Arabidopsis thaliana: one gene and its partner. The protein of the gene in region 2 interacts with the protein of the main gene of each other region in a pairwise test. Each region holds a gene or a part of one and is shown on either strand. Other genes may lie near its edges.

What was found. The genes of interacting proteins can lie anywhere in the genome.
Region 1: the proteins of MORF3 (region 2) and ADA2B interact in binary tests that used the Arabidopsis thaliana proteins (3 or more experiments, as listed by UniProt).

The regions. Positions count from the first base shown.
Region 1 is NC_003075.7:9,262,311-9,270,341, forward strand, and holds ADA2B (ADA2 2B), read right to left. Parts: upstream 3,848-8,031; 5' UTR 3,466-3,847; coding exon 3,416-3,465; intron 2,973-3,415; coding exon 2,917-2,972; intron 2,830-2,916; coding exon 2,657-2,829; intron 2,534-2,656; coding exon 2,468-2,533; intron 2,378-2,467; coding exon 2,252-2,377; intron 2,155-2,251; coding exon 2,079-2,154; intron 1,990-2,078; coding exon 1,941-1,989; intron 1,863-1,940; coding exon 1,843-1,862; intron 1,592-1,842; coding exon 1,372-1,591; intron 1,290-1,371; coding exon 1,079-1,289; intron 999-1,078; coding exon 774-998; intron 687-773; coding exon 495-686; 3' UTR 311-494; downstream 1-310. Other genes in the region: AT4G16410 (uncharacterized protein), read right to left, coding at 1-266; AT4G16430 (basic helix-loop-helix (bHLH) DNA-binding superfamily protein), read left to right, coding at 5,289-6,692; NAR1 (ferredoxin hydrogenase), read right to left, coding at 6,953-7,105, 7,179-7,273, 7,358-7,484, 7,577-7,748, 7,835-7,884, 7,986-8,031. UniProt on the Arabidopsis thaliana protein: Required for the function of some acidic activation domains, which activate transcription from a distant site. The exact mechanism of action is not yet known.
Region 2 is NC_003074.8:2,142,598-2,150,628, forward strand, and holds MORF3 (plastid developmental protein DAG), read right to left. Parts: upstream 3,211-8,031; 5' UTR 3,147-3,210; coding exon 2,767-3,146; coding exon of another isoform or gene 2,763-2,766; intron 2,668-2,762; coding exon 2,570-2,667; intron 2,316-2,569; coding exon 2,250-2,315; intron 2,158-2,249; coding exon 1,967-2,157; 3' UTR 1,787-1,966; downstream 1-1,786. Other genes in the region: AT3G06780 (glycine-rich protein), read left to right, coding at 1,037-1,642; IBR3 (acyl-CoA dehydrogenase-like protein), read left to right, coding at 3,937-4,071, 4,160-4,294, 4,507-4,647, 4,760-4,891, 5,007-5,192, 5,273-5,350, 5,440-5,559, 5,675-5,773 and 9 more. UniProt on the Arabidopsis thaliana protein: Involved in organellar RNA editing. Required for the processing of RNA editing sites in mitochondria.

The sequences.
Region 1 (8,031 bases), on a different chromosome or scaffold from region 2:
CCTACAGAGACTCCACCAACCACAGCATATCTCCAGTGCCGTTCCAAACCCAGAGGAGGAGGTTGTGCTCTTTCAAGCTTGCTGTTTCTGCTACTTTTCGTAGTCAATCTTCTTCTGGCTGAGCCACACCGAACAAGACATGATGTTCTGTTCCTTATGCTTGAGCTTGGAAAAGCTAGAGCTGCTGCTATTGATCTGCTACTGGTAAAATGGAGGTGTGGTTGCAGACAAGATAGTCTCATTTTGGGGAGAGACATCATCGTCATCTCACTTCTTCCTTTCCTTGTAGGAGTCAGATTCTTTCTTATATACTAAAACATTTGGTTTAGATTGTGTGGCTCTGATTCACCTTATCTCTTTTCACAATCTGTGGATAACTTAATCGTTTTTCTATTACAAACTAATTTTGACAAGGTGTAATAAACAAGGGAATGTCAACAAATAACTCATTAGAGCTCACACATATATATATATGATACAACACTACACAAGCCTTAAAGTTGAGCAATACCCTTCTTCACAAGCATATCATAAACTCGATCCACTTTGGTTGGATCAATCTTGAAAAGGCTATATGCATCCGACTTCTTCGTTACATTCCCTTTGAATATCTCATGTGACATCACTTGTTGCATCTGTAGATAAACCGGTGGAACCAACTTGACCTCGCTGCAGAGACGCTTCTCCTGCAAAACAAAGAGCTTTCTTCTTTCAGTTACAACGACAGAAAACTCATCTCACACTGTTCAGTATCTCAGTTCTCAGACACTTACGGATTCAGACAGCAGTTGCGACTCCGTGAACCCAATCAAGTCCAAATCATTCACATAGCTTGAAGAAGCTTGCACAGGTGGTCTAGAGCCCATCTCCCCTGCAATTTGACCAAATTGACCGCTCTCTTTCCCTCTGTTCATCCCTTCTTCGTTTTCTCTCTTCCTCTTCCTTCCCAGATACCTCTCTGCTTCAGCCGTTGAACGACACCCTGCCACTTGAGCTTCCTGCTCCACCAATCCAACACAGTGAGCCACATCCAATCCAAGAAACCAAACGCACAGTTTGAGGGTAGCAATGTCCTTACCTTGAGATCTTTGAGCCGTTTCACCATGCGGTACTCGCTTACAACATTACGGAGTAGCTCGTCGTGCTCCTCTTTTGAATGAAAACGCATAAAAACGTCCAAACGTCGGCATTGTACTTTCTCCTCCTGAGACAGGTCCTTCTCAAAGGGATTTGGGTACAACAGGTTTCTTTCTATTATGAATTCTTTTCTACGTTTCCTCTCATCAAGCCTACAAACATCATACTCACCTGCGTCAGAATGGACAGCAAAAAGAAGAGACTTTGTTCCCCTTTTGATCTTAAATGTTGTACCTTTTTGAATAGATACGCAACACACGCAGCTTCAGTTCATGTTCTTCAGGAGTATCGTTCTCTTTGAACTCCATCTCCGCCAAGAGTTGCTCAGCATCATTGTCATATTCAGGGTCAAACTCTTCTCTTTTCTGGTTGTAATTACTCAGCTCAACCAAAGAGTTGTTTACCGAGGTGGAAACAGGTTTCTTCCCTCCAAAACTTCTGTCTACAAAAGACTCTAACCACAAAGAATGTCAAAACATAGAAAAAGGGAGAAAATATCTACCAGTATAAATACAATGACAAATATTGGGCCTTTTTGGATTTTAAAATTATGCTCAGTCAGCTTCTTACTTTACAAGTAGATGATTCCATTTACGCGATGGTTAACTAGATTATAACTACTGGTGTAAGCTAGAGCAAGTAAATAACAAAACGATAAGCACACCTATATACGAACCAGATATAGCATACAAAGCAAGAACTCACCTTTTTGTGTGTCTTCAACTCTGCAAGAAAATTGAACAAAAGATGAGAAAATTATAGGGTTATCACTGTACAGTACATGAGAAGAACGAGAAACATACTTGACTTTAGGAGGAGAGAACGGGTACTCTTCTTTCATGTTCTGCTCTGCTGCCAAAGAAGAAACCACTTCAAAATCAGAATTAAAATAGCAACACGTACAACGCAGAATCAAAACCATCAAGCAAAGAAGCGCATACCTTTCTTGTCATCAATGCGTCCTTTAGCCATGGCTTGAAGTTCTTTTCTGTTCTTCCCTGCTACATGTGACATATCCTGGGAAAATAAACGTTTCTCCTGAATTAGTTAATACCTTGCAAAAGGCTGGCACTACTGAGGTAGATAGGTATCTTATCAGATCGATGTAGCATACCGGAAGTGGGAAAAATGGTGAGTTCAAATAGATGTTTCTGTAGTGCTCAAGACACTGTTCTTTACTCTTCGTTCCCACGTGCTCCGCAACCTCTGCCCAGTTTCCCAAGCCATAAATTTCAAGTCCCTGAATAAAGACATTAAAAGAAATTACTTTTCACTGAAAGAATCAGACATTATAGACTTCATATCAGTACGATAAAAGAAGTAGTGGTACCTCCAGGAGAAGCATTTCATCATCCGCACTCCAGTCAGGACAAATAAGCGGGAAAGTTAGATTTCCCTAACAAAGCAAATGAAACATATATTAAGCTTTGGTAGAATTCAACCAAAAGATATTTTCGCTAAGTATAATGAATCAAACTCTTTCCAAACTAAAAGGTAAGAAAAGTAAATGAAAACTAACCATAACTCGGTATGGGTGATCACATTTGTGAGGAGTGATCTCTGCTCCAACAGACATACATTCTATACAGAGATCAAAATCTGGACAGACAGCACACTTTATCCTAATTTTTCCAGTAATGTCTTTCTGGCAATAATCGCAGTTATACTTCCCTCCTCCCTCAGCACCTGGTACTGTCTCCACAAATAAAAAATGTTGAGTAAAAGAAGAATCTTGACAGGAGAAACAAAAAAAAAAAACCTTGATAAGTATTTTTTTACCCAAAGAAGTAGACTCAAAGTTCTCCACATTAGCCGCATTTTTCTTTTTCCTCGTTCTGCAACAAACGCATAACACGATTCTTTCATGTCAGCTTCAACAGTGAAAAAACAATTACACAGATGAAAACAGAGAAGAGACTACATAGCTACTGAAAGTTTTCAAAAGCAACAAACTTTAAGCGATGCTCATTGTCCCAACTGAAAAATCAATGATTGTTGCACAAAGCAGATGCAAAGAAACTTCAAAATCAATCAATTTCAGCAGAAATTGGCACAATTACATAGATGAAGATAGAGGAGACTATAGCTACTGAAAGTTATCAAAAGCCACAAATTTGAAGCCATGCTCATTGTCCCAACTAGAGATCAATGACAATTGCACAACACAGACTCAAAGAAACTTGAAATTCAAATCAATTTCAGCACAAATTGGCAATTACAAAAGAGAAATCCACAAAAACCCCAAATCGGAAATTAGAGTAGTGAATTAGGAACAAACCTCTGAGTAGGGTCTTCGAAATTTTGGAAGTTCCCTCGAGAGCGACCCATTGATGCCCAAGTAGAAAATTGGATTATTGGGTTATGCGAAACCACAGAGAAGAAGAACCCTAGCGTAATGCCAACATGGGAGACTCACCGGAGAAGATGGAATGGGTACTTGGGGGGGTTTCGTGGAAGAAAGATCTAATCGGAATTCAACAAAACTCGGTCGAAATTTGTGAGGTTTTGGATCTCTACTAATATTATTCAGAAGTTCCGACCGAGAAGATTAAAATTAGGGAAGTCGAGGTAAAGGAAATTTCTAAGGCACTGTACTTTTTAGATTTTTTGGGATTAGACGGTCATGCTTATTACTAAAGCATATGACTTAAACTAAATTGACTCTTATAACTTCAACTTAAAAAACTATTATTTTTTATGTTAATTGTTGAATGGTGGTTGAGGGAAAAAAAAATGAAGAAAAAAAAGCTAAGATAGACCATTTTTATTGGTAATTTTTTATTATTAAAATAATAAAAATAATAAAAGGAAAAGAAAGAGAGTGTAGAATGTTTCTCGTTAAACTATGAAATACTTTATACAAACCATCATAATATTTTTCTCTTTTCAATTGGTTCGCTAAAATAAAAATTTAATCATATATAAAATTATAATAAAATACTAATATTCTTTTTGTTTGAAAAACTGTTTGGGTTTCTTCTTGATGGAGATGTCTTTAATATTTGGTTGGGTTATGGTTATTCGTTTTTAGGTATTTTGTTCATGGACATTTTCAGTAAATGAATTAGCAAGTAAATAAACTTGTATAGGAATAAATGGTTAGTGTTGTCACACACTATCGGAACAACATTATGATGTATTTTAAAATCTTATTGATGCTAATTTGAAAAATTGATTTGGAAGAAGGTTAAGCAAGGAAACAACCATATAAGATAGTTTGATGCTAATTTAAAGTTTCTTATTTTGGTCGAAAATCGAATTATTAGAAATGTTTGAACCTTTTTTATTAGACATCTAGTGATAAATTTTATAAGACTCATGTCAATCGAATAAAAATATCGAATTGTTGTTTTGCTGAACGAATAAGTTTGTCTATATTAGACGCGATTAGTTCTTCTAAACCACATTATCCAAAAAAATCGTGATTGACTACATGGTGTAATGATACCTATCATACCATCTCAAGAATATGGCATGACTCATCCAATTAACAATTGTATTTGCGCATAATTGTAAGATGTGTAAATTCCTTTTCCGCTTATTAACGGTGATTTGCGATAAGTTAATTCAGAAGACGAGTTTCGATTCTCCCATCATAATAGGTTGTACTACGAAATAATTTCCCAACATGTACACATAATCTCGACAAAAATCCAGTGATATGGGTTTACTTGTAGTTGAATAGATATTACACCACAATGACTTGTGGTTTGGTATGTAAGAAAAGGCAAAAGTATAGTTTGCAGTTAAAAAACTGAAGGAAATGATGTCCTTGGTATTAAATTACGATTAAACCCATATTCTCTCTCTCGCATAGTCTCTTCCTCTTTTCTTCTTTCTTCGTCAATTTCAGAACAAGTCACTACAGATCTGAAGTGAACCAAGCTCAGGTTTTGTCTTCTCTTTGATCATTCCTTTCTCAGCAATATAAATTAGAGTTATATCCTTTATAAAGGATTTTGCTTTTTCACCAACAAACCCTAAATTCGGTGTCTCAGCAAGAATCACGTGATTCTCGTTCCTCTTCCTCACGAAACCCATCATCTTCTATCTCATTTGTAAGCAGCGATCTCAATCCAAATACCTTTAATTTTATTTGATTCCATACCCTAATTTTTGTATATTCCATGTCAATGAACGTTTCAGGAGAAATGGGTCAAAAGTTTTGGGAGAATCAAGAAGATCGAGCGATGGTTGAATCCACCATAGGCTCTGAAGCTTGCGACTTTTTCATCTCAACAGCTTCAGCTTCCAACACTGCCTTGTCCAAGCTTGTCTCACCACCAAGTGATTCCAATCTCCAACAAGGGTTACGTCACGTTGTTGAAGGATCTGATTGGGATTATGCTCTTTTCTGGCTAGCGTCCAACGTTAATAGCTCTGATGGTTGTGTCTTGATCTGGGGAGATGGTCATTGCCGTGTCAAAAAGGGTGCTTCAGGTGAGGATTACTCTCAGCAAGATGAGATCAAAAGACGTGTGCTTCGCAAGCTTCACTTGTCGTTCGTTGGTTCAGATGAAGATCATCGTTTGGTGAAATCAGGAGCTCTTACTGATCTCGACATGTTTTATCTGGCTTCTTTGTACTTTTCCTTTAGGTGTGATACCAATAAGTACGGTCCTGCTGGAACCTATGTGTCTGGGAAGCCTCTTTGGGCTGCAGATTTGCCTAGCTGCTTGAGTTATTATAGGGTTAGGTCTTTCTTAGCTAGGTCAGCTGGTTTTCAGACTGTGTTGTCTGTACCAGTGAATTCTGGAGTTGTGGAGCTTGGTTCTTTAAGACATATTCCAGAAGATAAGAGTGTGATTGAGATGGTGAAATCAGTGTTTGGTGGGTCTGACTTTGTTCAGGCTAAAGAAGCTCCTAAAATCTTTGGTCGACAGCTGAGTCTTGGTGGAGCAAAACCTCGGTCTATGAGTATTAATTTCTCCCCGAAGACCGAGGATGACACGGGTTTCTCATTGGAATCGTATGAGGTGCAAGCGATCGGAGGCTCTAATCAAGTGTATGGTTATGAGCAAGGGAAAGATGAGACATTGTATCTAACTGACGAGCAAAAGCCGAGGAAGAGAGGGAGAAAACCAGCAAATGGAAGAGAAGAGGCTCTAAACCATGTGGAAGCGGAACGGCAGAGGAGGGAGAAGCTGAACCAGAGATTCTACGCTTTGAGAGCGGTGGTGCCTAACATCTCCAAGATGGACAAGGCTTCGCTCCTTGCAGACGCAATCACTTACATCACGGATATGCAGAAGAAAATCAGGGTGTATGAAACAGAGAAGCAGATAATGAAGAGGAGGGAGAGTAATCAGATAACTCCAGCAGAGGTTGATTATCAACAGAGGCATGATGATGCAGTTGTAAGGCTAAGCTGTCCGTTGGAAACTCATCCAGTTTCAAAGGTGATACAAACGTTGAGGGAGAATGAAGTTATGCCTCATGATTCCAACGTGGCCATCACAGAGGAGGGTGTGGTTCACACATTCACTCTCCGGCCTCAGGGTGGCTGCACCGCTGAGCAGTTGAAGGACAAGCTCCTTGCCTCTCTATCACAGTAACTATCACAGCAGTAACTGCTATGTAATAAGTGTAACCGTGTTGGAGGTTGTATCAATGTACTATTGCAAGCCAACCAAAAAAAACTCCAGCTTAGTAGGATCGTGTAATTTTCCTTATATGTAATGTTGAGATTTGTCTTTTACATATAAAGATTTGAGCAGAAAGCTTCACACTTATCTCCTATCTAAATACACAATATAGAACCGTTTTTGTTGCCTTGTCAGTCAAAAAATTTGAACACTTCCAGTTTGTCTACGGTCTACCAGTTGTTGAGCTGCGACGTAACACTTTTCACGACCGGATGGTACTGAGTATGCAAGTACTTCTTCGCCTCGTTGGAACCAGGCTCTTTAAGCCACTCCTCGAATAATCTCTTCGCCGTTGGATTCTGGTATGGATCTGTATTCAAAGTCTGGATCCAAAAGGGCAGGTTATTTATTACTAGCTTAGTTAAAAGTGATTTATGAGACTCAAGGATAACTTACAGTATCATTCATATAAGTAGCTTCCAGTGAGTGGATCAGTTCTTTCTGGGACTGTCCTGTCTTTGGCTTGATCTGCCCACCACCATTTAGGCAACCTGTTGAGAGCGAGCATTTTGGGGAACGGTTAATAAGTCAACATATAAGACACGTTTTTCAACTAGGGTTTGCAGAAGATGAACCTGCAGGGCACGCCATAATCTCTACATACTGATAATCGCATTTGCGCGTTTTCACTCTCCGAACAATATTCTGGAGGTTCTGGAAACCGTAACACAGCGCAAATTTTAACACTGTTTTACCTTCCAACTTCAAGAAAAAGATGACGAACATGAGACAAATCCGAGGGGGATTAATGAGAGAAAATTTCAAAACTGTTCATAGTCTGGCTAAGAACTTACTTGAAGAGTCACTTCACGGAAATCAGAATTTCTGAGAGTTTTAAACTCCAGAGGACCTTCAATAGTTTGTCCAAATAGTGCTTTTGCCGCATGTCTGAATATTGTTTCTGCATAACCACCAGAACTCCCAGCTACACCATAAAGATCTCCTTCCTCAGTAACATTCGTCAGCCTGTTTTTTGCATGAAAATGGAAATGTTTACTTCGTATGTATTCATCACCCACTAGCAGAGAAGAGGAAATAATAATGCTTCTTACACTCTGTCAAGTGGAGATTCCTCCAAATCTTTAAAGTCAACTCCTTTCAACTGCACGACACATATAGAAATCCAAAATCAAATTCACATTTTCTGCGGTATGGAAGCAGAATTACAATGAAAATAGGGTTTAATCTCTATCACAGTATCACCTTTATTAAATCCATGATTTCACCCGTTGTTAGCACGGAATCAACT
Region 2 (8,031 bases):
ATAAGGAAAAACTCAAAAACACTTTAGTACTTTAAATTATGTCATGGAAATTAATATTTGAACTACAAAGTTTTACTTGTAATTGACTTCTTGTAACGAAGCCAAGCAAATTTCAGTAATATATTCGAAACCTAATTCATTCATTACTGCTCAAAATCAGTATTAAGTCAAACATAGCGGTTGTAATTGGTCACCCGAAAGTAATAATCACATGGGAATGCTAACGTCTAGATTATCAATAAAAAATGTCAATTACTTCCTGAACTTTTATTTCTGAAACATATTTAACGAATGTATGAAAAAACAAAGTTTGGAAGCTCTTAAAGTCTGAAAAAACAAATGTCAGTGAGCACGTGAGATTTGTCATAAAAATTGTCGATGATGAATCTGCAGAAGGATTAGGTTATGGACCGACGATAAATGTTTAGCCATTTATGCTATAAATTTTACTTCATTTTTTTTTTGGTGTGAATTTCAGAGAAGGCATACCAAACAACCTCGTAAGAACATTTAAACATATGAAATGCCATCGATTTCTTTCTAAGAAATCACATATAATTTAAATCGACGTTGTTATAATCTCTCGATTTACTCCATGTAGAAAAATTTCCTTGAGAAATGATCACATGAACAAGCACATCTTCTGCTCCCACAATATTGCTTTTTTGACACATATTTCCTTATATTTATGAATAGAACCCGTATATTTTCAGAAATGTGATACGAAAACTCTTCAATGAATTATATAGCCCAACCCATAACTTTGGGCTTTCACGTATTAATGGACCCTTCTTGCGTGCGACTCACGTGTGAATACTGCAAGACACGTGGCTTCTCTATTCAACGCGCAAATCAGTTACGTGTACAATTTATCCGCCTCCTTCGGATCCGAATCAGCTTCCTGATTTATTTCCCGTCATTACCCAAATTCGCCGGCAATGTTGTAAAAATCCCTAATCCAAAACTATTTCGTGGATTTTAGGGAAAAAAGAGAATTCGAACAAGGTCGTCGTCGTCGTCGGATTTGTAGATCATCATGGAGTTCTCTTTGATCGCAGATACAGTCACAGTTTGCACGGCTAAGCAAGGTATCGCGTTTGGGAAATCTCTTCTTCAAAGGTTGGATTTGGCCAATCACATTTCTTTCGCCGATTCCGTTGTTGATCATCAATCTCCCGGTGGAGGAATCGTTCAAGCATCGGCGATTATTTTCCCCGTCGATGCAATTGCTCCTCCACCGGTCAGATCTAGCTCTTATAAGACAATTCGCCGGATCCGTAAAAAGCGACGAACCAGGCGAGTTTCGTTTGGTGGAGATGGAGATGACGCAGGAGATTTTGGTCGTTTTCTGTTAGAAGGTGATTTCGGTGGTAGCGACGGTCCATTTGGATTTGGAGGCGGAGGAAACGATGGAGGCGGAAAGGGATGGAACTACGGCGGCGGCGGCGGTGGTTTCGGGAGGGATAATTGGGATGGGTCTTCGTTTTCGTCTTGGTCAGATCCAGCGATGGAATTTGTGTATGAAGTGATTTGCTGGATCGCGTTGTCTAATTGTGTGCACTTTGCGTTCAAGAGGATAGTGAGGATCGTGACCGACGGTGAAAGGGAGAAGTTGAACATTGCATTATCTCCGGTATGCTGACAAATTCGTGGTCGTGGTGATGATTCCTGGTTAAAAGTATTCTTAATCTCGGTTCCAATTACATCATATGATCTCTCGTGTGTATATATATTACATTGTACATATTTATTTAATTTCTCCTTCGCAAGTTCACATTAGATTTTTATAATTTGTTCTGTTTAGAGTAGTGTTTAGTCATCATTAGAGACATGAATGATGATTGATTTGTTTGATTAAGTGGATAAAAACTGAAAAGTCTCTCACATGAGTGTTTAAGACAAGCATGTAAATACCATAATCCTAATAAACTCCATCCATTACATAATGCATTGTTCATGTTTAATATTAAGCACTGGGCTTGTTGAACTCTCCCGGATTTACTGGAGAATGAAGACCCATGGATGGCTCTCTCCTCTCAACCTGCATTGTCTCACGGCGCCTATCATACCTTGGCCTAGGACGGGGTCTAGTATGACGCTGTTCCGTGAACCTGTACTGTGGTCTGGGTATGACCTTTCCTTCAACGTACAAGTCACCTGAACATGAGAGCCAAAGACAGATGGTATCAGTATTAAGAACCATATCTCAGTACCCAATCATTCAGACAAAATCTACAAACGTTACACACCTCCGTAGTCTTTGTTTGGTACATCGAGATAGGAATCCGGCAGCACCCAGAGAACACCAGGCAATGCTAATGAATCACACAACTCTAGATCAGATTTCTCAAACAGTAAAATATGTTCTCATTTTATAGTACTAGAGACAGACAATAACTGCGATAAAACAAAGATCAAGAGAAGTTTCCTCCTAGCTGTTGAACAGAGCAGTACCAAACAGAGAAAGCCTTTTACGATAAATCTCAACATCATAAGTAAACAACTAGAAAAGCTATGTCAGAGCAAAAAAGGCTTAAAAACCTAATTGCAAATATGGAGAAGTTGATACCTTTGACTTTGCAAGAGAGCTCTTCAGAGATCAAAGCACCAAAGCCAGTGTAGGTCGAAGTACAAACAGAGTAAATCTTCTTCTTGGCCTCTTCCTCACTATAGTTTAACCATTATTACCCACAAAATGCAAATCCGTCAATCCCCAAATGCACAAGAAAACATTTGAGAGTCAAAATCAAATGAAAAGGAACTTGCCAGCCAAGGACGGAAGTTAAGGTTTTGACATAAGAATTGATCATCTCTTCTTCAGTAGGTTTAGGATCAGTGAACTCCATGACGATGAGCCAGTGCTCATAATCGCACCCATCAAGAAGAATCGTCTCCTTCGGCGGACGGTTGCTCCAATTCGGCGAAGGATCATTCAGCGGCGAGTATCCGGACCCGGATGTCTTGGGTCGGGTCGAGATGTAACACGGGCCCAGGCTGGTTCGGGAAGAGGAAACCTTTTCAATTAGAGGCATGGCGAATCGAGAACGAGAAGAGAGCGTAGGAAATGAAGAAGAATATGAAGTAGAGGAAGAGAGGGTTTTGTTTAGGAGTGTCGATAATGTTCGCCGTGTGCTGATAAGAGCCATCGCCGGTGAGGGTTTCGGCTTCTGTTCTTCTTCGGTCCTTCTCTTTGCAGAAGCTTTGAGAAACTATATGGGCTTAGTGGGCCTTTGATTTATACTTTTTAGATGGGCTATTAAAAAATTTCTCTACATTAAATTCCTTAGTTTAGTAGTTAAAAGTTTCCCAACAGAAAAATACTTTAAATCTTCTTGTCAAATACTTCAACACTCCTAATTGAAACACTTTCAGTGTTAAAAAAATGTTTCAATTATCGCTTGTCAAATTGTTTGTTCATTCTTAAGTGTTTTCAGAAAGAAAATTTCGTCCTCGTTAGCTATAAAACGTATTCATTTTGTATTAGCTTTCTTAATGTGAATATGACGTCCTAAGTCAAATCACCTAATCTAAAATTTTGATTTGAGTTAGCAAAATGTCCATCAAGTTAATTCATGGATAACTTTTCCAACCTATATATGGTTAGTAATTAGTAATTATCTTTGGCTTTTTTTGGATGCATATAAAATCACAATGACGATAATAACGATGATTATCAAAATCAAAATGGTTACTGTATTTACTATTTATAAAAAAAGAAAACATAGAATTATCTCTCCAAAAATAAGAAAAGTAGATAAACATTTCTGAAATTGCTGTAAGGTCAAAAGTAAAAAGAAAATTATCCAAAAGAAAGGTTATGCGACTTTCCGTAAATGGAATTGTTGGTATGAATGCGTGTATTTGTGTTTTAGAGAGCTATTCTTGTTGATGAATCTCTGAGGAGCAGAGCGAGATAGAGGAGAGTGAAGGAACATCATGGGAAGCAGCACGGGCGATCTTGTGACACGTATCCAATCAGCTCACCGTTTCGATCACGATGCCTTGTTTCGTTTTGCCGCCGACAACGTCTCTGGCTTTCCGACCAACCCTTCCCAATTCAAAGTCTCACAGGTATGTTTTCCAATCGCCGAGGTTTTTTCTCCGGTAAGAAAGAAACTTTTATCTGACTGTGTTTTGTTTTGGTTTGGTTTACATACAGTTCGGACATGGGCAGTCGAATCCAACGTTTCTGATAGAGGTTGGCTCAGGGAGTTCCTTGAAACGATACGTTTTGAGGAAGAAGCCTCCTGGCAAGCTTCTTCAATCTGCTCATGCTGTTGATCGAGAGTTTCAGGTATCAATCAATTAATAATCTTTACCTCTGTAAAATTCATTGTAACTGTTCATACTCGATTTTTGAAGAAGATGAAATTTTGTTGTTTCTAGTACCGTTTTGAAATGCAGAATCATTGTAACTTTTTGTGATGCTGCTTATAAGAGATACGGTATCAACTAAAGGTAGATGCTTTTTTTGCTTAATACTTTGATGGTGGTTGGTTTATGTAGGTGCTTCGGGCTTTAGGTGAACATACACAGGTTCCTGTTCCTAAAGTCTTCTGCTTATGCACTGACCCTGCTGTCATTGGGACTGCTTTTTACATTATGGAGTTTATGGAAGGACGTATTTTCATTGATCCAAAGTTGCCGGTAAGATATTCTCTGTTATGTGAATGTGTATGTACGGTTTTTTTAGCTTGAGATGTGACTCATTGTAAACGAAAGGTGTAAATTTGTGTGTGTTTCATCGGTTTTGATTTAGAATGTAGCACCTGAAAGGAGAAATGCGATCTATCGTGCAACCGCCAAAGCCTTGGCATCTCTTCACTCTGCTGATGTGGATGCCATTGGTCTTGAGAAATATGGTCGGCGAGGCAATTACTGCAAAAGACAGGTTTGTTCTTTATTTGGGGCTGGTGAATTTCCAAATCACTACTCACTAGTTTGATGTTCTCTTAATGCTTATATGCTCTTGCTAAAGTTTTTTCTTTTGGATACCTCCATTTCAGATAGATAGGTGGTTCAAACAATATTTGGCTTCAACAAGTGAAGGTAAACCTGAAAGGAATCCAAAGATGTTTGAGCTTGTTGATTGGTTACGCAAAAACATCCCCGCGGAAGATTCAACTGGAGCAACATCAGGCCTTGTCCATGGAGACTTTCGCATTGACAATCTCGTTTTTCATCCTTCTGAGGTCTTAATACTTTCAAGATCTTTTGTTTTCTGATCCTTGGATAGTCTCGGAGACTTAACTGAAAATATCTTAAACTGTAGGATCGAGTTATTGGAATAATTGACTGGGAATTGTCCACGCTTGGGAACCAAATGTGTGATGTTGCATACAGCTGCATGGTAATAACCTATTCTTGTTTGTTGTATTGTACTCATAAAGCAGTTTTCTTTGCTTCCTGCTCTGATATACAGTTCATTTGTGTTGGCAGCATTACATTGTGAATGTTCAGCTCGATAAGGAGCATGTTAGTGAAGGTTTTGAAACTACTGGGCTTCCAGAAGGAATGCTTTCGATGCCAGAATTTCTCTTAGAATACTGTTCTGCATCGGTATTGTCCTGCAACAACATGTAGTCTTTAAAAGGAATCAAGTCAGGTGTTCCTTGTACATTGCCTATATTTTCTCAATTTCTGTTGTAGTGACATATTGGCAAATGAACTTTAGGGAAAACCATGGCCTGCTGCAAACTGGAAGTTCTACGTAGCGTTCTCCTTATTTCGGGCTGCTTCAATCTACACAGGGGTGTACAGTAGATGGTTAATGGTATTCCCCGGGCATATTTTTGAATTCTAAGATTCTTTATTATGCAGTTGTAGAGCCATTGACATTGTGTTGATCATGCAGGGGAATGCTTCTGCCGGTGAAAGAGCGCGAAATACAGGGGTTCAAGCTAATGAGCTTGTAGAGTCTGCCTTGGGTTATATTGCACGTGAAAATGTTCTTCCAGAACACCCTCCATCTGGTAATCGACCTCTTTGAGATTCAAGTTTGTTAAGGATAACTGTTTATTTTACATTTCTTATATATGGATGCAGTTCAAAGAGACGTGTCTCCGTCGTATGAAAGCCTTGTGGATGGAAGCGGGAGATTCATCCCCAACAGAAAAGTATTGGAGTTAAGGCAGAAGTTGATCAAGTTTATGGAAACTCATATCTACCCAATGGAAAACGAGTTCTCCAAACTTGCTCAATCAGATATGCGATGGACCGTTCACCCTCAGGAGGAAAAGTTAAAGGAAATGGCAAAGAGAGAAGGCCTATGGAACTTATTTGTTCCTGTATGCATCTTTTTCGCTACAAATCTCTTATTACTTTTACCCTGATTGAGACTGTACTTATTGATTCTTGGTTCTTGCAGGTAGATAGTGCTGCTAGAGCTAGAAGAGAACTGGCGGCTACCGAGAATAAACATAACCTCTCGGGCAAGTCTTTTGATCAATTGTTTGGTGAGGGCCTCACGAACCTGGAGTATGGTTACCTTTGTGAGATCATGGGTCGTTCTGTTTGGGCTCCACAGGTGTTTAACTGTGGTGCACCAGATACTGGAAACATGGAGGTATAAAAGCCTGATGTTGTTTACCGTTCCAAGAGTTGTCTCATTGCTTGTTACTTGTATTTATATAATCTGTACTATCTTGTAGGTGATACTGCGGTATGGTAACAAAGAACAAATTTCTGAATGGCTTATTCCGTTGCTCGAGGGAAGAATTCGTTCTGGATTTGCTATGACTGAGCCACAAGTTGCATCGTCTGATGCAACCAATATTGAATGCTCTATCCGAAGGTAAGAGATTTTCTTTATATTGATATCTACTTTCATTCGAATTCTCAACTGAACAAAAAAATGAAAACATTTGAAAGCTATATGTCATCTTCAATTTTTCTACTGGTAACTCCCAAAAAATGAGACTCAGTCCGCAATGTTCCTTATAGCTAATTCTGATGTTGATATAGACAAGGTGATTCATACGTCATTAATGGCACAAAATGGTGGACAAGTGGAGCTATGGATCCCAGGTGCAGAGTCCTTATTCTCATGGTTAGTTCTCTTTCCTTGTTCTATTTCTCTCTTAATCTATCTATATATGTAAATACACACACATGAATTCATATCTGTGCTATATAGGGAAAAACTGATTTCAACGCCCCAAAACATAAGCAGCAGTCTATGATATTAGTGGACATGCGGACTCCAGGTATAAGTGTGAAGAGGCCTCTCACAGTGTTTGGTTTTGATGACGCACCTCATGGACATGCTGAAATTTCTTTTGAAAATGTGGTTGTCCCGGCGAAGAACATTCTCCTTGGAGAAGGCCGAGGATTCGAGATTGCTCAGGTAATACTACAAAAGATTCACAGATTCAGGGCTTGCAGTAACAAAGAGTGTAAGGATTGTGTATTTATCGGTTGCTTGCGTTGTTGTTTGTTATATTAGGGTAGGTTAGGCCCTGGAAGACTGCACCATTGCATGAGACTAATAGGTGCAGCAGAGCGTGGAATGGAGCTAATGGCTCAAAGAGCTCTGAGTAGAAAAACTTTTGGGAAGTTCATTGCGCAGCACGGTTCTTTCGTCTCTGATCTTGCAAAGGTAAACGACACTGCTTTTATCTCCCAATTGCTTCTTATGTTCTTCTTATATGAGTGGTTGTCTGATACAGTTACGGGTAGAGCTAGAAGGAACCCGATTGTTGGTTCTAGAAGCTGCTGATCATCTTGATAAATTTGGAAACAAAAAAGCTCGAGGAATTCTCGCAATGGCCAAGGTAAAAACTGTTGTATTTTGGTGACATTTGTTTTGCGCCAGAAATTGACAAATACAGATCTTGAAGAAGCAAAATCATTTTGGTACTCAGGTTGCAGCTCCAAACATGGCATTGAAGGTACTAGACACGGCAATACAAGTTCATGGAGCAGCCGGTGTATCCTCGGACACAGTTTTAGCGCATTTGTGGGCTACAGCTAGAACACTGAGGATTGCTGATGGACCTGATGAGGTTCATCTTGGGACCATTGGCAAGTTAG